Lepisosteus oculatus: one gene and its partner. The protein of the gene in region 1 interacts with the protein of each later gene in a pairwise test. Links are inferred from orthologs where the notes say so. Each region holds a gene or a part of one and is shown on either strand. Other genes may lie near its edges.

What was found.
Region 2: the proteins of mad2l1bp (region 1) and inositol polyphosphate 5-phosphatase K interact in binary tests that used the Homo sapiens proteins (3 or more experiments, as listed by UniProt). The link is inferred for Lepisosteus oculatus from reciprocal best matches to the Homo sapiens genes MAD2L1BP and INPP5K.

Annotation. Positions count from the first base shown.
Region 1 is NC_090712.1:640,418-650,569, forward strand, and holds mad2l1bp (MAD2L1-binding protein), read right to left. Parts: upstream 4,320-10,152; 5' UTR 4,106-4,319; coding exon 3,853-4,105; intron 3,238-3,852; coding exon 2,975-3,237; intron 2,845-2,974; coding exon 2,326-2,844; 3' UTR 2,202-2,325; downstream 1-2,201. Other genes in the region: ephx5 (epoxide hydrolase 1), read left to right, coding at 435-543, 869-994, 1,414-1,624; gtpbp2b (GTP-binding protein 2b), read left to right, coding at 8,884-9,078. UniProt on the Homo sapiens protein: May function to silence the spindle checkpoint and allow mitosis to proceed through anaphase by binding MAD2L1 after it has become dissociated from the MAD2L1-CDC20 complex.
Region 2 is NC_090721.1:246,154-256,664, reverse strand, and holds the start of inositol polyphosphate 5-phosphatase K, read left to right. Parts: upstream 1-6,003; 5' UTR 6,004-6,805; coding exon 6,806-7,038; intron 7,039-7,510; coding exon 7,511-7,615; intron 7,616-8,536; coding exon 8,537-8,645; intron 8,646-10,173; coding exon 10,174-10,290; intron 10,291-10,511. UniProt on the Homo sapiens protein: Inositol 5-phosphatase which acts on inositol 1,4,5-trisphosphate, inositol 1,3,4,5-tetrakisphosphate, phosphatidylinositol 4,5-bisphosphate and phosphatidylinositol 3,4,5-trisphosphate.

The sequences.
Region 1 (10,152 bases):
GGGTTTTCACACATGGTTAAAATGCAAGTGCTTAATTTGATTATTTAAACTTTATTTTAAAAAAACTTGTTTGTAGACAATAGACAACTCTGAGCACCTACTGTATGAGAACACATAGAAGTAGGACCATGAATAAACAGGTAAAACCCATATTCAGGAAAAGACAAATCCAAAACTTTTCACTACATCAAAACACCTGTTTTATATCTTACTTTGATTAACTGAATTAGAAAAGGCCTCACGTCTGCTGTATAAAAATGTAAATTAAAATAGGGGAATTAAAAATCTGGAAATGAAGAACGTGAGCAGTCAGCCGATATTAGCCCAGTTAATGTTAAACTGGGATGAAAATGATCTGGGAGAACACTGGGCTCTGAAATGCAGCTGGTCTGCTACTCACCAGAGCTCAGAGGGGCTGTGTCTCCCCCCTGCAGGCTGTGGGCTGAACGACTCCCCTGTGGGCCTGGCTGCCTACATCCTGGAGAAGTTCTCCACCTGGACAGACTTCCAGCACAGAGGCCTGGAGGACGGGGGGCTGGAGAGGTAAGAACCTCTTGCTGCTCCCAAAACCCCCTCCAGGGACTGGAATAAATAAAATGCTGACCTCTCTCTACATAGACTGTGAAATTAATGTATATTTGAACATTTTAATAATTTGTTTTCAAAATGCTAAGAGCACAGAACTGGTAGAGCTAAGACCTTGGGGACCAGTGCTGTGTGCAGCAGGTATAAACCAGCACTGGAAATACTGCAGTTGCTCCGGGACCCGCCTCTGCTTAGGAACGAGTTTCAAGAGCTGTGTGACCCGGCGGGGACAGCAGCAGGACACGAGGTGGTTTGTTCACAGGAGATCCGCCTTTTCTTCCAGGAAGTTTTTCCTCGATGATCTCTTGACGAACGTCATGTTGTATTGGACCACAGGCTCCATTGTGCCTTCGATGCGGTTTTACAAAGAGAACCTGAAGGAGAACATTCACAAGAGGGTGGATGCCAGGTGAGATCACTTTCCTGGACACCCTGAACAAGGGGTCTTTACAGGGTTACTCCTTTCAGTTTCTGGCCTCCTCTCCCTTTGGTTCCCAATTAGATAAATCATGCTTGGAGGATGCAACTTCAAAACCTTCATAACAGCGCAGGGAAGCTGTTACTTCCCTCTCCTGTTGGCGCTGTGCAGGCTCCCGGCAGGGCCTCACTGGGTAGAGGCTGAGGCAGGTTGAGGCAGACTAGTGGGTCATGTCTGACTTCCGCCTCTGTCCAGGTATTCAGTAGGGCTCCTGGCCACGGTGCTCGTCTGGGTTAAACAGGTGTGGAACAGCTCTAGCAGGGAGCTGCAGTGCTGGGGAGACAGCAGTGGGTCTGATGCTAAAATCAAGGCCTGTTTTAACACCGTCCCTGGCCTGCGTGTTTTGGCAGGGTGGGCGTGTACGTTCCCACCGGCCTGGCGGCCTTTCCCCACGAGCTCCTGCACTGCCCGCGGTCCTGGGCAAGGTGGCGCTACAAGAACATCGTCTCCTACTCCTACATGCCCCGGGGGGGGCACTTCGCCGCCTTCGAGGAGCCAGAGCTGCTTACCGACGACTTCCGCGAGTTCGCAAAGAAAGTGGAGAAAATTGAAAAAAATTAAGAGGAGGATCCTGCTGGCCTGGTCCTGGAGCACTGCTGCATGTTCTGATTTTGAGATCTGTTACTTACTGACCACTAATTGGCTTTGTTAGTTCAGATCAATGAGATTGTATGAGGCATCTAAACCTGATAGACTGGGTTCTCCACAATGGGCTTGTGATACTGCTGAAGGGGATTCTAAATTAGCACTAATTGTGAAAGGTGACATGATGTTTAGATTAAGAGTTTAACACAATCTGACAACACACTAAACTGCAGCTCTTCAGAAAGGCACTTTACAGCAGATTTAATCTAAACTTTAGAGAAGGCCCATGGAAAAACCATCAGGTCTACTCCTTCTCCACAATAAAAAGCTTCCAACAGCAATGAAACTGACGGCTGCTGCTGTAACCTTCAATGAATTTCCACATCATTAGGGAAGGAAAATCTCACTTCCTGTGCTGCATTCTTTAAAACTTTAATACTTTAAACGAATTTACATTAGAATTGAAAGACATCCACACAACTTACAAGTTAAAAAAACAGCACCGATGGCCTCCCGCACTGACCATGAGGAGGCTCCGCAGAGGTAAAAAGCAGGAAAGGGGGGCTTTCTCCCTGTGCGGATAACCCCCACAGTCCCATGCTGACTCATGCCCAACTTTATTTTGCCACATCGCTTAGTGTAACGCGTATCTCGTCTGGCTCTCACCCCATTGTCTCTCATTTGCAAAACCCCTTGATGACCACAGGCGCCTGGAACCAGATATAATCCTCCCAGTCCCGCTGTTCGCCCTGGGCGGGGGTGGGGGGGTGCGTGTCGGAGGACAGAGCGATCACCTGCCTCTTCGCCCTGGTGGGCACCGTGTAGTCCTGCCTGGGCCGGAACCAGCCCACGCCGCAGTCCCGGTGGCCCAGCACCATGACCGTGGTGGCCACCAGGCTCCTGGGCTGCGGCTTGAACAGGACGTCCGCCACGAAGAGGGTGTGGAAAAGCTGACGCAGGCATGCGGCCGTGCCCAGGCTGCCAGCCTCCTCGCCCAGGACCAGGGCCTCCAGATCGATCTCGAACAGCTCCTTGGGCGCCATGACGTTGCCCCCCAGGAGCAGCAGCACGCGGGGCACCAGGGTGAGGGAGAACAGCACCTCCAGGTTCTGCAGCACCTCCTTCAGCTCCCGCAGCGTCTGTTGACAGCGCCGGCCGTCCAGGCCGCCCGTCTTCATGGGCCTGCGGAGGGCGCCCTGCAGAGGAAGGGCAGAGGTCAGACCTGAGCGGCGCTTCCTGTACTCTTGCTCCGTGCACCGCCCGGAGTCCCGATAGCGAGCCAGGCCCGCGTGTCCGTGCCCACAGGAGTGCGGGCGCCCAGCTCACCTGGCGGCCCGCCGGCGCTGTCGCCTCCTGCAGCAGCAGGAGCTGGTCGTAGGGCGCGGGCAGCTGCTGGCGCTCGTACAGCACGAACTTGAGCAGCTCGCAGGCAAACCTGCAGCAGCTGGTGTGGGCAACGGCACCGCGGAACACCACGCACACACGGCCGTCCTCCGCCTGCGCGCGAGGCCCAGAGCCTCTGGCCGGGGCGTCCACACACCGAGGGCAGCCGGCTGACCCCCCAGTCGCAGTGTCGACTTCCACTAAAACTGAAAGGAAATCACAGCGGAAAATCCTCCTGTCAGGGATTTAATTTTCTACACCACATGCACAGAGGAGGAAAACAACACTGGACAGTCCTACACTGTTGTAAAACACAGGAGCTCAGTAACCCACACTAACCTGGAAGACCATTCCAGATCAGCTCAACCAGAACTTGATTTGTGCTGGAAATACACACCTGGGGGCTTCAGCTCGCCCAGGTCTGAAAAGCTGTAAATTATTCATCCTAAAGAGCTCCCACGTGTGAAACATCAGACAGTTGGACAACAACACCCACCTATTCTCTAGTGCGGGCAATCAGTGACGCCTAGACCAAACTGTCAGGAGCGTTTTAATGACAAATTTAATCTCAAAAGTACAGCCGTCTAGGCTACAGTACACAAAAACGTAGGTCTGTATACTGAATGCCCACACAAACCACAAACATGTTTAAAGTAGTAAAATATTTAATATGCTTATGTAGTTCTTTCGGAAATGAACTTCTTAACCCAATTAAATGATTACTATTAATCTAGCTGGATTCCTATTCCTGATACAGGACACGCGAGGTGTCTGGGCCAGCGGAGGCCCCTGTCCAGCCGGGGCGGCACCGCCGAGCGCACCTGCGGCCTGGCCCGGCCCGGGAAGCCGGTTCTCCTTCTCCTCCTCGCCGCGGCCGCCCGCTCCCGTCTTGCCAGGCAAGGAGACGTCTGTGTTTTCCGACGTAACTGCCGCACCGATGTCCAGCACCGCCATCCTCTGGTCCAGGGGCTCCGGGTCCCGGTACACCGTCACCGGGCTGCCCGGCCGCCGCTGCTCCGCCATCCTCAGCCTCAGCCCCGGCTCGGTTTGAATCCGCCGCCGCGGCTGCGGCATCACGGGAGCCCGCAGGAAGTCGGGTCTGACAGCACGGGGCTCCTCACAGCCCCAGCGCAAAACTCAGCCCCGGCCGTGCCGTGCGCTCTTAATTTTAATCGTATATTTGATTTGGTTTTGTATTGTTATTTTTTAAATCTCTTTCAGGTTTTTAAAAACGCGTCACTTCCTGTACGTCAGACGGACTGCCGAGCCCTACAGTCTGCGCAGCTGCACCAGCGGCAGTCCAGCTGCTGAGGCATACGCCGACGTCTTAATGTCGGACACCGCCTAGACTGTACAGTACACTTCCTTAATTACTCTGGCACACAAATAAGATCTCATTGCCCTCTGTCGAAAAGTGCCGTAGCCCCGGATGCCGCTGAAAGGTAAAATGTAAAAAACATTCCTGACGCCTGGTCACCTCGGCGTGCGGCTTTATTATTAAGATTGTTTTATTTTCTGCTCGCTCTTCTTGAATCTTGAATAAGGGAGCGGTATAACCTATTGGGTTTGAACACAACAGCGGCAGGTTGCGGGTTCGAGTCCCTGCTGCAGGCGCTGCTGGTGTGCCTTGAGTGAGATACTGTACCCCATTTGCTCCAGTTCACCCAGTTGTGTAATAATAAGTTGGGGGATAATTCCTACACGGAGGGGAGTCACGTGCTCTCTCGTCCGCTTAACTCGCTGGAAACCGGGCTGAGCTCCAATCGACGAGCCGCTGTGGACTTCATCTTTCTTATCTTTCACGAATAAAGATGTCATGCCGCTGGTCTTCAGGTCTATCTCACGCCTGACCACAAGGCGGCAGCAGTCTTCCACTGTCTGAGACACTGTCCACCTTTAATACTTTAATTTCTCTGGGCGCACACAGTCAACGTTTTCACTGTCTTTACTAGTCATCAGGACTCCACAATTGTCATGCAGACATAGAGAGCAGAAGAGTAAATCTCAATATTACCAGTTATGCTTATGGATATCCTCAGTGTTAAGACACGTAGTGCAGCAAATGTACAGGGCGGAGTGGTGGCTCTGTGGCTCAGGATCTGCGCCTGTGGCTGGAAGGTTGCTGGTTCAAGTCCCGTGGCTGGCAGAGGAATCCTACTCCGTTGGGCCCCTGAGCAAGACCCTTCACCCCAGCTGCTCCAGGGGCGCCGTATAAATGGCTGACCCTGCACTCTGACCCCAAGCTTCTCTCCCTGTCTGTGTGTCTCATGGAGAGCAGGCTGGGGTTTGTGAAAGATGAATTCCTAATGCAAGAAACTTTATATGGCTAATAAAGTGATCTTACTAAGATACAGAACACACCTTAAGACAAAATTAATTTGTATCAAGGTTTTTTTTGTCGAAATTGTACAATGCATACAGGGAGGAGGTTGAAACCCTGACAGCATGGTGCCAGGAGAACAACCTCTCTCTTAACATCAGTAAGACAAAGGAGATGATTGTGGACTATAGGAAACATCAGGGAGGAGACCACACACCTATTTACATCAATGGGACTGCAGTGGAGAGGGTCAGCAGTTTTAAGTTCCTGGGAGTTAACATTTCAGAGGACTTAACCTGGACCCACCACACCAACACCGTGGTCAGGACAGCACGGCAGCGCCTGTTCTTTCTCCGCAGGCTAAAGAAGTTCAGCATGCCGTCACATATCCAGGCCAACTTCTACAGGTGCACCATTGAGAGCATCCTGACTGGTTGCATCACTGTCTGGTATGGGAACTGCTCCGCCCGGGATCGCAAAGTACTGCAGAGGGTGGTGAAGTCAGCGCAGCTTATCACCAGCTGTGAGCTACCAAGCATCCAGGAGATCTACTCAGCTAGATGTCTGAAGAAGGCCAGGTCCATTCTCAAGGACCCCAGTCATCCCAGTCACAAACTGTTTTCCCTCCTACTGTCTGGTAAACGGTACCAAAGCATTCGGTCCAAGTCCAACGGACTACGGAACAGCTTCTACCTCCAGGCAATAAAACTGCGAAATAGCCAATCTGCAGCTCCTTTATCAGATCACCTGTAATGGCTACATGGACACACAGTTTTCACTGTATTCAGCATAACTGCACTACATGTATATATTGCATACACCATGGAAACATAACAGCTCTACTCATATTGAGTTTTATTCAATTTCAAAAATGTAACCTCAGTTTTGTGATTTTTGTGTTTTTGTGAATTTTGTGATTTTTGTGAGCTCGCAGAAAAAGACATTTCATTGCCAGCAACTACTGCTGCACGCTGTATTGTTGTGCATTTGATAAATAAACTTTGACTTGACTTTGACTTGACTTGATGTACCAGAAAGACCTAATTTAGCATGTTGTATACAACTGTTATCTGTGTGTTATAAAATTGTTGCTCTGCAATCAGCCCAGAATAGAGTAACCACATACATTCCTGAACTCAAAGGAATGTCCTGCACTGTCGGGCAAAAGGACCTAAATATTTCTAGGCTTGTACAGAGAATACCTAATACAAATATTCAAAATCCTGAAATGAACTCCAGCCCAGTGGAACAGCGAAACACAAACCACAGGACACAAGTGGAAACTAGGTAGGAGTGCATTTAAAACCAAGAACAGGAGACATTTCTTTACGGTTCAGTTCAGTACTTCATTGCCAAGTCAAAGAACCTGATAGAGATTTGCTCTACTGCAGCCCCGATTCAAAGAAGAAAAATGTTACACTTCCACAGACAACATCCTGAGGTGTCTAATGACAAAAAGAGTTGTGAGAGTAGGGAACAGGATACTCTGTCATGTTTCTGAAGATGATAGCCTGGCTTCTCCCAAGACACAGCTGGATGAGATCCTGTGATCCTGAGATCACTACAGTATGTTGTGTGGGCACGGGCAAACTAGGAGACTGTCTAGAGCAATCAGGGATCCCCCTTAATGTGCAACACAACATTTTTTTTACTCAGCATGTTCAATTTGTGAGTGAAAAATTCCCTAGTGTGGCACTTTCTGTTGCTGCTGTTGTTGTGTTGTATTTGTAGCTGATACTTGTAGTGTCTGTGCAAATCGTGATCAGGGGAGTCTGCTGTCCAAGACCTTGCCTAGGGCCTGCAAGTATTTTTTTGTTGAACTAAGAAAACATGTTGGCGTTTGCAACCTAGGAGTAGTTTCACAATGAGGACAACAATATTGCTGGCTTCATTTGATATTCTTCACCTCTAACCTCACCCATTGCTGACGCAAAGACAGGCAAGAGTCAAGCATAGACATCCCCTCTTCTGTGGGCGGGGATTCTGATTTGAGTTGTAGCCAATAGGAGGAGAGATTGGGTTAAGAACCCAGCCCACTTTTGGTTCCTCATGAATATTCAGTGATCACTGATAAGGATCTCCATGGAAACATTTCCATGTGGATAATCCTAATGGAAGCCCGCTCAAAAAATAACCAATCATAACCAATAACCAAATAAGTTTCTGAAGCGCAGAAAAGAAGAGCAGGATAAGCGATCTCAAAACAGAGGTACGCTCCAATCATTTTAATAATACATCATTTGCATGATAATGTAATTTGGATTTCATTTGCTTTTGAGTCTATCAGATCCATGTTAGTAGCAAATAGTAGACGAACCACATTTTCAAGATCAAGATGTAGACTACGAGAGGTGTTTTACTTGAAGTTAACAGATTCATGTTTCTCTAATTGTACACAAGCTGTGTGGGATACCTGGCTAAAAATCAGTGCTGCTAGGCCAAACAAAAGCTTGAAGGTGAATGCGCAGTACAAAAAACTGTTCAGTGTTTATACGTGATCAGAGTTAAAACATATTTGTTTTCCTTGGGGTTTCTGCTGTATTTCAATGAATGGGGGTATCGTGAACCCAACCTGTAGCCCTTCAGATTGCAGTCTCTCTCCCAGTGACAGTGGCAGGAGCAGAGAGGAGCTGCTCAGAGCTCAAGATGATTAAAACACTCCTGAGGTCAGCCTTGGCACAAGGCCATCATGAGCATCAGTCACGCTGTGGGTCGACTACTATGGCATGAAGATGCAATTGATGATTTTGCCTCCCGAAAATCTAGTCGAATGATTTATAGAACATTTTTTTGGATGCTCCCATTTGCTTGGCCTGTTATCTTTGTAAAATGTATGCTTCTTGTTCTTGTCTGTAACATATTATGTGCTCTTCAAAGTTGAACAGTACGTTTTCCAGTTAAATAATTAATTTATTTAATGGTTCTAAACAGTAAAACAAGGTTGTGTTGGGAGCTGATACTAGTAATGTCTGTGCAAATCATGAATAAGGGAGGCCCCTTTCCAAGACCTTGCCTAGTGCCCGCAGGGAGCTTGGGCCGGCCATGGTTTTTGTTTTTGTTGAACTAAGAAAACATGTTTTGGCATTTGCAACCTAGGAGTAGTTTCACAATGAGGACAACAATATTGGTGGCTTCATTTGACATTCTTCACCTCTAACCTCACCCGTCGCTGATGCAAAGACAGGCAAGAGTCGAGCGCAGACATGCCCTCTTCCGTGGGCGGGGATTCTGATGTGAGTCACAGCCAATAGGAGGAGAGACTGGATTGAAATCCCAGCCCACTTTTGGTTCCTCATGAATATTCAGTGAACGTCATCGAAAATATTTCCCTCTCTGTCATCAGCCTTGACGTATATCCGCTTCAGTGAGCTCAGTGCTGAGGTATCGTTTTCGGGTGCAGAGGGGGTGCAGTGTTTTTGTTTTTATTCCCTCTCTGTAGCCCAGCAGATGCGTTACCGGCGCTGTCCCGGTTTTCGGAAGTCGAAAGAGCCGCGACGCATCTGAGGGGGAGGAGAGAGGCCGCGGCCGCAAGATGGACTCGCGGATGGCGGAGCTCTTCGGTACCGGCTCCGGCTTGAAGTCGGGCTCGCAGGGACTGGCTGCCGGTTCGGGGAACGGGTTCGGGATGATGTCCAAAAAGTCGACCTCGAAAAACGGCAAGAAAGCGAAGAACCGGGCGAGCAGAAGCACGAAGCCCAGCAACAACCCGCCGTACCTGCCCCCGGAGGTGAGACCGCGGAGCGAGCGGAGACCGGGTCTCGGACCCAGTCAGAACCCGTCCGGACTGCAGCATGTTTGTGCTGAGCCGCAGTTCGTGTTCCAGACTTGCTTTCTGTTTCGGATGAGCAGATACGAGCTCCCGCGATGTTACAAATGCATGTAATTTACAAACAGGAAGGCAGCTGGCTGGGCTTGAGCGTTTTAAACCCGTGAGGTTGGGGTTAACTCAGAATAACAGCCCTGAGATGTGGTTAGGAATGAACATTAAGACGACAGTAGTCATAGTATCAACTACTATTATTTTTTTTTCGCTAAGTGAACCAATAGAGGGAGAGAGTGCTGTCAGGGCACAGGACGGAAGAGAGAAGGTTGTTTGATTGTCTGATTGTGGACAGTCAGCTGACAGATGTTTTCTGTGTCCTTGTTGTTGTTGTGTTATATAGTTGTTTTTTTCTGTTGTAATACTACAATAATAGCTATACAGCTGTTTATCACGTTTTGTAGTTTGTTAGTTGTCTGTTGTTGTGCTTTGGCGTTATGGTAATGTTGTGGTTCTTAGCCCTGGTCCCGGATTACTCCTGTGTGTCTGCTGTTTTTTTTCCAGCTGGGTTCTTAATCACTAGCAAATTTATTTTGATTTCTGATATTCATCTGGACTGAGGCAGAAGAAAAGACACTGACACAGTGATACAAGGAGAATCTGACACAGTGTCACTCTCACCTGTGTGTGTTCATCTTAAGTCGGTCACATGTTAAGAGCAGTTTAGTCAGGCAGTATGAAGCAAACTCTTAATGACCTAGCTGATATAAGACTGCGTAATAATAATAATTGCTTACACTTATATAGCGCTTTCTGGACACTCCACACAAAGCGCTTTACAGGTAATGGGGATCCCCTCCACCATCACCACTGTGCAGCCCCACCTGGACGATGTGACGGCAGCCATAGTGCGCCAGAACACTCACCACACACCAGCTCTCAGTGGGGAGGAGAGCAGAGTAATGAAGCCAGTTCATAGATGGGGATTATTTGGAGGCCATGATTGGTAAGGGCCAATGGGAAATTTGGCCAGGACACCGG
Region 2 (10,511 bases), on another chromosome or scaffold:
TAGTAGAGTACATATAGCGTCATCAAGGTCGTGAAACGTGCACCATTAAGCAGCGCGAATGAACCGGAAATGTTTGTAAACAGCCGAATTTCAATCAAAGTAAAAGTCCTCAGTAACGAGTACAGCAGCGCTCAGCAAAGCAAACACCTGCGTACTAATTTTTCTCTTTTGTTCTTTCCTTCATCTGATGGTACCTTTGTTCTATCACGTTGTGACATTTGTATGTATATACCCCTGTTTGTTGTATTTCCCTTTTGTGTTTAAAAAATAAAAACATTAAAACAAACCTGCGTAGTAATTTCGTCTAGGTTACTTGTAACTTTTTAACATTCTCTGGAATTTTTCATGTTTTTTTGTATTGCAGATCACCTCTACTGATGCCTACGTTTCGTTTCATTTACGCCCTCAAATCTGAAGAAGGTTCTGCAGCCGAAATGTTCTTTTCTTTTCCTCTCAGCATGGACTAAACCTTTACCTGTTCCTTTGAAGCTGACCCAGCAAACTATTCTTTCATTTATACTCCTGTAAATTGTCATTCTCTTTAAACTGTTTTTTTCCCCATACGATAAAAAGGGTTTTGAGATGTACACAGTTTTGTTTGGTCAGAGGCGACTCTTTCCCCTGTCCAGCACTGTACCAATTTGCCAAGAGGAAGTGATCTAAAAACACAAAAACATTAGCAAGGAGGTAAAAACGACTGAAGACCGGTCATTTTCTATTAGCTGCGAGCCTTCGTATCGCATTCCACCCAGTTCTGAGGATGCACAAATTGTTGTTTTGCCAGAAATGCAACTTTACACTGTCCAGGAGTTTTAGCGTGTTTTAGAGGACTTTTATTGTGAACGGCACCGCAAATAGGAAGCCAGCTCCAGCGTCTTCATGCCGCACTCGGGCTGGCAGCAAGCGGCTGTGTCTGCAAGCGCCCGGTCACTCAGTAGGCACAGCAGATGCACCTGTTTGTTTTTCGGACAGCGTGACTGGCGTAGCTGGCTCATTATTACCGCACGGTATGACTTAATATTTTGTTTTTATGGTAATTGAAACATTGTGAATCGACCATGTTCAGATTAGCAGGAAAATATATAGAAGGAAACTGATGCCTCTCTGGCGGATCCGTTTAGCCTTTATTTGATCGGAGAGGAGGGGCGGTGCTGTAAATACGTGATTAGTCAACTGATGCGCTAATCTGTGCTGTCAGAGATGCCTTTAAACTTATTTTGCGACGTCTGCCTAGAAGTCGTAAATGTCTGAAAGATGAGATTATTTCTAAAATAAAGGAAATCGTGGAGTGAACGGGCAGCATGAAATTCTTTTCTTTCCGCGTTTATTTGGCTCAGCCTGACTCAGCTATGGGAATAACAGTATCTCACAGTGACGTACGTAGGCGAAGCAGCGCAGTGCTTAGTGTTAATGTGGATAGTAATAATGATGTTAAACACGGTCGTTTGCCGTCTAACGTGGGATGCGTGATTGTGCTCTGCGTGTTTACACATGCTCTTATAGTAGGAACGCTACTATGTTGAAGCTGTTGGCACTTTACCAGTTGACTGATGTTAAAACTGGAACTCTTAAGACGGTAAGACGTGTCAGCTCGTGTATTGCAAGTCCGGTATTTATGGAGAGTGGCATCAGGATGATTTAAGTTTCCTACAACGCGAAGATCTATAATTATGCTCTCGTTGTTCATGCTGTAGACCACTCGCACCCACAGGTGTTTTCCGTGTCGTGTCGCGTCCTGTCAGTGTTCCAGTGTCACGCAGATGTGGGTCTGCGCTGTTTGATTAACAGATGTCTACTGTGAACGTCATAGGCTGATAAAAAAGATTTTTTAAATAAAACTGTACTTGAACAGTTTTTAATTAAAAATTGTTTTAAAAAGAATTCCACTTGTCATAAACCAGGCATTCAAGATGTCTCTGGATTTAAATATTAAAGGGCTGAATTATAACGCTAAATATTATAAAATGATTAAACAGCGTGCTATTAATGTTCTGGTTCCATAGATAGATATGGCACAGCTATATCAGCATTGGAGTGAAGCGGAAAAAATCACGAACATATAAAATCTTTTCTGACAGCAGCCCTGGAAGATGGAGACGCCCGATAAATAATGGGAGACGACGTGAGAGTGCCTGTATCACGAGCACAGTAAAAGCGCAGACCTTTACCGTCAGCCCTGTATAAGAAGGAATTCTGGGGAAGCGATTCTGAAAAAGACATGCAGCATATTGATCAGATTGTTCTGGTCCAGGCATGTGATGGTCTGTGAAAAGCAGACATCAGAAGGATTAGAAAAGGCGATTAGACACAGAGAAAATCCAGGATGTGGCTAATCTTTTTTATGAATTAGCTGTCTGTTCCATCATTTGTTTTCAAATAGTGTTTTGTAATATACAGAGAAGTACTGCATTCAAAATATTAATATTTCACAATAGTTAGGGCTGTAGGACACAGCACAGAAACATCAGATTGAGCCTGACCCTTTCGTGGTATCTGCACACACCTCAGTTGTCAGCAGTGCAAATGATGCAGCACTGATTTCTCAGGCTTCTCCCAGAGCACTGGACTGTGTGACTGCAGGGTCCCTGGGAATGATGAAGCTGCGTCCGTGAGCTGATGTGGTGTGTGTCTTCACAGGCTCAAGGATGCATTTAAGCCCTACGTCAGAGACCCAGAACTCTCTGTTCCAGGCCAAGATCAGCAGTAAGACTGCAGCCAAGATGGACACTTTCAGGTACGTTTAGGGGTGAGGATGATAATGATGCCAGTGTGAGAGCTGAGTGTTTCTGCAATGTGTAGATCATGATACATGATTCTAATTATGGTTATTTAACCTTAGATGTTGAATGTTGTTATCTGATCAGACAAAAGGCTTTGGGAGTCTGAAACAGCTGAATGAGATCCCCAGCTTGAACATCTACTATGAATCACATGAACTATTTGGGTAAAATGGCCAATTGATGACCTTCCTCATGCTCCAGGTGTCTTCAGCACGTCCTGAGGGCAGGTTCACACCTGGCTGCAGAAACCTGGTCTTTCCCCTGTGAGACCCTTATGCTCAGGGCCCTGTCTCCCTGGGGAGCTGCCAGAGCAGTGGGGAGTTTTTAGTTCCATTGCTGTTGCCTTGGAAAAGGCATCGACAGGAAGATTGACATGGATGGTTGAAGCTGCAGACCTCTTTCCTCTTGTAACTTGTTACCTCATAAGAAACCTGCTTCCAGGAAGTGAGAGGGTTCTGGTGCTCAGAGCTGGTCAGGTGTGGACCCATGTGTCGCCATGAGGAAATACCTGATCCCTCACTGCTGGAGAACACAGTCTGTGCTCTTAGTTCTTCATTTGCTCTGAAGGTGCGAAGCTGGTGCTCATTGCTCTGGGGTTGTTAGGGTATTGCCGCCCGGGACTGTATATAGAGCTTCTTACCACATACATACGGAGTTTAGGGATTAGTAACTGGTAGGTGCTGTAGAAAGAAGAAAAAATTAGAAAAAATGGGAAAGATCAGTCCTACTATTCAGGCTGGACCAATAGAGAACTTTTTTGCCATTTTTTCCATATGTTATTATTTATATATAATATATATTATGTTTTGTGAGACTGTTCCTGAATTGATAAAAAAATTATAATTGTCAATAATTTTCTGTTTATGCACTTCCGATCACAGAAATAATCAGTTTGACTCACCGATACAGTCCAAGATCAGAGGAGTGAGGGTGCTCATAGCGTGCTCTGTGAAAGCGCGTGTTTCTGCTCCTTTGCCTGGTCAGGCAGCGCGAACTGTGGAGCCTACAGCAGAGCGAGCGCTCCTCGGAGACCACACTGGACACTCGCAGGCCCTGGCCAGTCACAGGGGCCACTCTTGCACGACAAGATGAGGGTGTCCTGGTCAAGTTAAGTCCACCCAAGTTGGCAAGTGTTGCCACTCCTTGTTGAATCCAAGTGACAATAGGAGAGGTAGGCAGGGTTTGGCAGTGTAGGCAGCAAGAAGATAACTTGCAGATACAAAATGGGAAACTGAGATAGAAGAGGCTACTGATGTAAACGACAGATGTGTGTGTTGATGCAGGTTCTGCTTATATCTTCTAGACAATGAGGAGAAGGAATAAAAAGGAAATCCTAAATATGTATGAAAGAATATATATTTAAATTTAAAAGTGCAGAATTTAAATCAAGGGATGTTATGTTAAACGTCTTCAATGCACTAGCATGGCTTCATTTAGAAAATTGTGTACAGTTTTGTACACCATGTTGTAGAAAAGATGTTGCTTCTGTGTAATCTGTCCAGAAAAGAGCAACCAGATACATTCCAGATCACAAAGAAATTTCCTACACTGACAGGCCAAAGGAACTAAATCTTTACAGTTTTGAACAGAGAAGACAATAAGCCGACCTGATACAAATGTTCAAAATCCTCAAAGACATTGACAACATCAGCCCAGTAGATTTCTTCCGAATAAACAATTAAACGCAAACCCTACGTGAAGATACAGAGGCTACAAGCAGAAACTACGAGGAAGTACATTTTAAACTGAGGACAGGAGGTATGTCTTCAGCCAGAGGGTTGTGGGAATGTAGAACATGTTACCCAGCCTTGTTGAAGCCCATACCCTGGCTTCTGTTAGAAAACAGCTTGATCCTTCAGTTAGGGACTAACAAAGAGACAAGATAACCTGGGTGTCCTCCTCTTGTTTGTAACTGTTCATATTAACTTAATTACGTTTTATATTATTCACAAAATCTGCACCTCATCTCGCAAATGTGCTGGGCTTTTTCTAGTGGGAGCTGTCCTTGTATCTTTCTACATACATATGTCAGAATGCAGCTTGCAGTGCTCTCAATTATAGCAATTTGAGAAGATTGAGAATGTCACTATTGCATCCACTGGTCCTGACTAATGGAGACGGAGTTTGGCCAGCTGAACAGATCATGCAAGTTCAAATGGTCTGAACTGGAGCTCAGACCCTCACCCTGCTCCTGGCCCCCTGATCTGAAGAATGCCTCTGTTGTGATATGTTCAGGAATGCTGGAAGCACCTTGTGACAGAATTATCCAGTGAACTGAGGGGATTAAAGTCCTTGTGAAAGAGGTATTTGTGGGTTTTGTGTAACAGTCTTTTTCTGGACATCTGAGCACTCCAAGCACAGTTTCAATTCATTAGCCAGGAGTTCTGCCAATTAAGAACCAGAGCTCTGCTGTCACAGGGGAAAGCGGATTTTCTTCTTTGTGTGCTTCAGCTCCAGAGCTGTCCTGGAAGGAGTGGGGTGACGGGGGGGTGAGGAGGGAGCTGAACCGCAGGCCTGTGGCTGTCTGAGAGCTCTGGAAAGGTGTTGGATTGGTGCAGCCTTGGTCCCAGCAATCTTTTAGCTTTATTCTACCAAAAGAAAACAAGTATGATGGGATAAATGGGCCATCTTGATCTTTTGCTTCACTTCTTTCTGCACCTATGTACCTAAAATCAGGGCATAATGACATCTATGAGTCCTGTTAATACAGTAAAAGCAAAATTTAACATTCTGTTGGGGGAAGGGTGGTCTGTTAATGGGGATAGTCTGTTAAGTCATGACGCATATGCTACATCTAATTCATACACAGATACTACTCTCTGAATAATGTAATGTAGTTACCTTCTTTTAAAATGCAATTTTAAGCAAAGTTATTGTAAGAGAATCTAATTTTCCAATAAGAATTAAAGTAAACATTAAGGTTGCCCAGTTTGGTATAATTTTGAACAATTCCATACTGTACTGGGCAAGCCAATGGATGCTGTGGCGAAAGTTATTCTGATAACTCTTCAGTGACATTGAAAATAAGCCAAAGGTATCAAATGTAATTCAGACAGTTATTTACTTTGCCAATGCCCTTTTTAACCTGCTGACTTAATTTTAATGTATTTTGTGGCCTGACCACCACAGTGGACCAATAGCATGTTAAGAGGCTAGGTGGGGGATTGGGGCTAGACTGGGGCTAGAGGGGGATAGACCCCCTTTTGTCGTGATTTGGCTTGGAGAGCAAGACTGTTGGTGTTATAGAGTCCAACTCTTACGCACAAGACAAATCATTATTTGCCTCACTGGAATATTAACCGGATTAGAGCTCAAATGTCTCCTAACAATGGGCCAGTGATGCTGGAATCAGCCAGTGCCCAGCACAGACGCATTCGCAAGCCTCTGGTCACCAAGGCCTCTCTGTCACGTGGGTTCCTGGAGATTTAAATAATCCTCCACTTGAGAGGCAGAACATCCTTTTAAGTTTTATTGTTGTTTTCACCAATTCATTTGAGGAGCACAATTGGACCTAAAGGAGAAGTGGACTTGTTACTTCATTAGGAAGTTGGTCTTTTGGTGTTTTTCCTTCTGTCTTTTTGGTGGTCTTGCTGGGCCTGCCAGTCCTGGTGCTGGAGCTCCTCCCGTGCTGAAAGAAGGAGGACTTGTTCACCTGCTCTGAAACGTCCGACTACAGCTTTGTAAACTGCAAGAAATTACCTTTTGACCAAAGAACTTTGGAAAGGATTTTATTCTGGATGCAAAAGAAGTTCAAGAAAGAGAACAAGAAACTGTTGTTTGAATTGCAGTTGCTGATTCATACTGGAACCATTGATTGTAGCTCATTCATATATTTTTAAGAACTTTTCACTGAACACTTGTACCAGTAATTGAATCATCTTAATTTTCATCGATCGGCTTGTTTTGCATTGCTACTGGCTTGCTGCCGCAATCGGCTAGTCTGAGCAGAAGTGCCGGGAGGCAGTGTGTGATTGCGTGTGGAGCTTCACTGCCAGCTCGCCCTGACCGACCCAGCCTGCCAGCGGATGGAGGATGCGGAGGGGCTCCCGGGGCTGCGTGCCCGCTCCGACAGCATGGCCAGCACAGCCTCGGTGTCCACCAGCGGGAGGCTGCTCCTGCGCCAGCGCGTGGTGCAGCTCATGACCTGCGTGGAGGACCTGAGCTCTGACGAGGAGCTGCAGGAGGAGGTGTCTCGCACCCTGAATGAGGCTTTCCTGCTCTGCGGGAAGCGGGGCGCCCGCGAGGAGGAGCGCTTCAGGTGCCTTGGCTGTTACCATCTGCTCCCTGGCGTCCTGGGGGGAGAGAGAGTGGTTTAAAGCTCCAGAAATTCACATGTATTTCCGATAGTCCAGGGAAGGACAACCAGGGCAATGAGCACAAATTCCTCCTCCACTTCAGTACTCAGAATGCTTTAACTGATGTGATGCGAGAGGTGCAGACATACTAAAAAACAAAATGGGAAAGTCTCTAGTCAAATGTCTCAGTCATACGTATCATAAATTTACAGGCACATCACTGAGATTTTTCATAGTGAGGAGGGGATGGAGTAATGTGGTTTCCAGCTGGACTCTTGTTGGATGTTTTTGTAAAATTTCTGAGATGCTATTTATAGCCTTTGGAGACGCAGTGCAGCGATGTTCCTCTGAACCAATGCAATGCAAGTTGTCCATGTCTGGAATGTGTCCTTCTTTATGTACCAGCGGTGCTGTGGTTCTGCTCCTCTCTCTCAGGTTGCACATGGTCACCTGGAATGTGGGGACTGCTGCCCCCCCCAGCGATGTCAGCTCCCTGCTGGAGCTGGACTCTGAGAAACCTGCTGACTTGTTTGTGATTGGGTGAGTGAGTGTCCAGCAGGTGGGACATCCTGCAAGAGGCTTCTTCCCATCTACATTTCTATTTCATCACTTTCTACTGCAATTACAAAATCTGTTCTCCTTTTAAAGGAGTATTGCTTATTCAGTTTCTGCCATTCCTTTAAGACCACTTTCTCTTGAGATCTGCTCCATGGTATTGTCAGCACCCTGCTTACAGGACTGTTGTGTGTGACAAATGGTCCTACTTCAAACAACAGTAAAACAGCTTGTTGTACAAAGCAAAATTAAATGCCACATAGAGACTCCATTAACATCAAAACATGCAACATCCTACCTTGAAATTCACACAATTTATTCTCTGTAATAACTATTTTAAAGCTCTGTTTCAGAGTGACATGAGCCTCTACTTTATGTATCATTTTATGTTACCGTTTGACTTTTTTTAACACCAGCTATAAGGGCATCAGTTTTGCCAGTATCACAGTACAGTCATAGCTAACAATAAGAACTTTAAGTCACAGAATAAAAATTAAGTCCCAGTTAAAGACTAAAACAAAATAGACAGAGCAGACATGTATGTTGCAGAAAATCCTTTCTTACTAAGAATTAGGCATATGTTTCTAACATATTCAGCCCGAGACATGCAGTACTGTACTCTTACCTCAACCACAGCTGCTGATGCCCGAGAAGAGAATAATACCTCTGATCACTGCTCAGAAGGCAACAAAGTCCTCACACAGGTCCCTGGTGTGTCAGTTGACATCTGACATGTTCAGTCATGTTCGAAGAGGAAAATAAAGAAGCCCTGAAAGGCGTGTGCACCCATTCAGGAGCTGCCAGTGCAGAGTGCCCGCCTAGAGCTGCACTCCGGCATGCTGGATGCGGGTGGCATAGGCTGGTATCGCTGGTGCCTTTGGCAGCTGTTCTGTGTTTTCTCTGCAGGCTGCAGGAAGTCAACTCCAGGCTTCTGAATTTTATTAATGACATGACGTTTGAGGACCCCTGGAGTCGCCTCCTGATGGACACGCTGGCCCCGCTGGGATATGTGAAGGTTCGGCCTTTTACTCTTCTCTGCAGCGTCCGTCTCAGTTCACACCTTCTAGAGTTCTAGAGCTTCAAACATGAGCGTAAAAAACTGATGAAGAAAGTAAAAATGAATTCCATGCCAGTTCTCTGTGTAGCACCATCTGTGCCTGCAAGTTAGGGAAAGCTATGATGCTGTAACAAAGCGGTCTTCTCCTCTCACACATGAAGACTTTGTTTCTTTTTCAAAATGCAAATACATAAAATTCCTGAACACTGACACTGCTGTAGGCTTGTGGCAAACTAAGAGCTGGTTAAAAGAGGTGCTACCATCTTTAAAGAATTGTAGTTGAAGCTGTATCTCCAGTCAAGGCTGAAACTAATGGTCTTGATGCAGGACCTTTTCATTGCAGTACTGGGCCAGGCTGCCATCCCAGCAGCTTCAGTGTCTTTCAGAGACATGTGTGTGCTGTATCTCTCGCTGCTGACTTGGCCTTCCTGAACAATGGAAGGCATTGTCATCCACCTCATTAGGGGGCTGTTAATACAGTGAGAGGGCATGGTTTGTTTATCAAACAGAGTCTCATTTGTGGTCCAAACCAATTAATATTGTTAAGCCTTCATTTTTTATTAAACTTTTTATTCTCAGAGTGTCTGAACATGTATGTCTTTGTAGTGTCCTCTGTTATCTGGAAACCTCTGTTTGCTTGAAAGGAACAGTGGGATAATACTAGCTAACGTAGTTCACACTAGAGTTCCCTGCAGTTCATACTGGCAGCACATGGAGTTGCTCTTTTGCCTGTATGATCTCTCTCATTCTCCTGTCTTCTGAATGAACCTGTCAACCCTAAAGTGCTGAAGCGCTGTACACTACCAGTACCCAGAATGGGACCTGAACAGCTGACAGGTGCCCAGGAGATTCGTCTGTCATTAAGAACAGACTTTTCTCCAAAGGGACCACTTCCTTTCAATGTCCACTCTAGACCCGTTTGCTTGCTTTATTTCTGGACAGCTTAGAATCTGCAAAGCAGTTAGTGAGAAGCAGAGCACATGCTGTCTCATAACAGAAATGTTCAGGCCATTAGTTGGGAACCAGTGATAAAGCCAATTTATAATAATCGATTTTCACACATATTTATCCCCTTTCATACTAAAGGAGACCCATTTCCTCCTCCATCGTGGGTGATGCTCAGCATCTGCTCTGCAGGAGCAGATCCAGGCTAGGAGTGAGGAACTGCTGCACCAGGGGGAACTTTAGGGAGGCCAGACTGTTTGAGCACAGTGACATTTAGCCAGATCACCGGGGTGCATACTCCTGTTTGTGTGAGCAGTGCCTTGGAATCTTTCGTGACCAAGTGGCCATGTTGTGCTGTGACTCAATGAATGGCCAATGGCCAGTTGTTCGCTTAGCTGTTTCATGTTGAGCCCATAACTTCACATACATTTGTCTTGAAAATAAATATTTTCTCTTCACCTCACTTTTTGATTAATAGCTTTGATTTCAGAATGGAGGCAAGCTCATTGTCCCCCAACCCTGTCTGTCCCTTCTCATGCAGCTGATATCCATCCGCATGCAGGGACTCCTGTTGCTCCTCTTTGCCAAGCAAGCGCACATCACATTCATCCGGGACATCCAGGCCAGCTACACCCGCACCGGCATCTACGGATACTGGGTAGGAAAGAGAGCGATTCCTGCCTTCAGGCACCAGCAAATGATAAAACCAAGTTAAAACTGAAACAATATAAAAAATCTAAATTTTCTGCCATGCTTATAAGTAATCTGGTGTCCAGTTCTACAACTCAACTCATGAGTTTGATGCAGATGAACAGAAGGGGAGGTGAAGGGCTGCCTGCTGACTGCTGCTGTCTTTCCAGCATGCTGTTCAGCAGTATT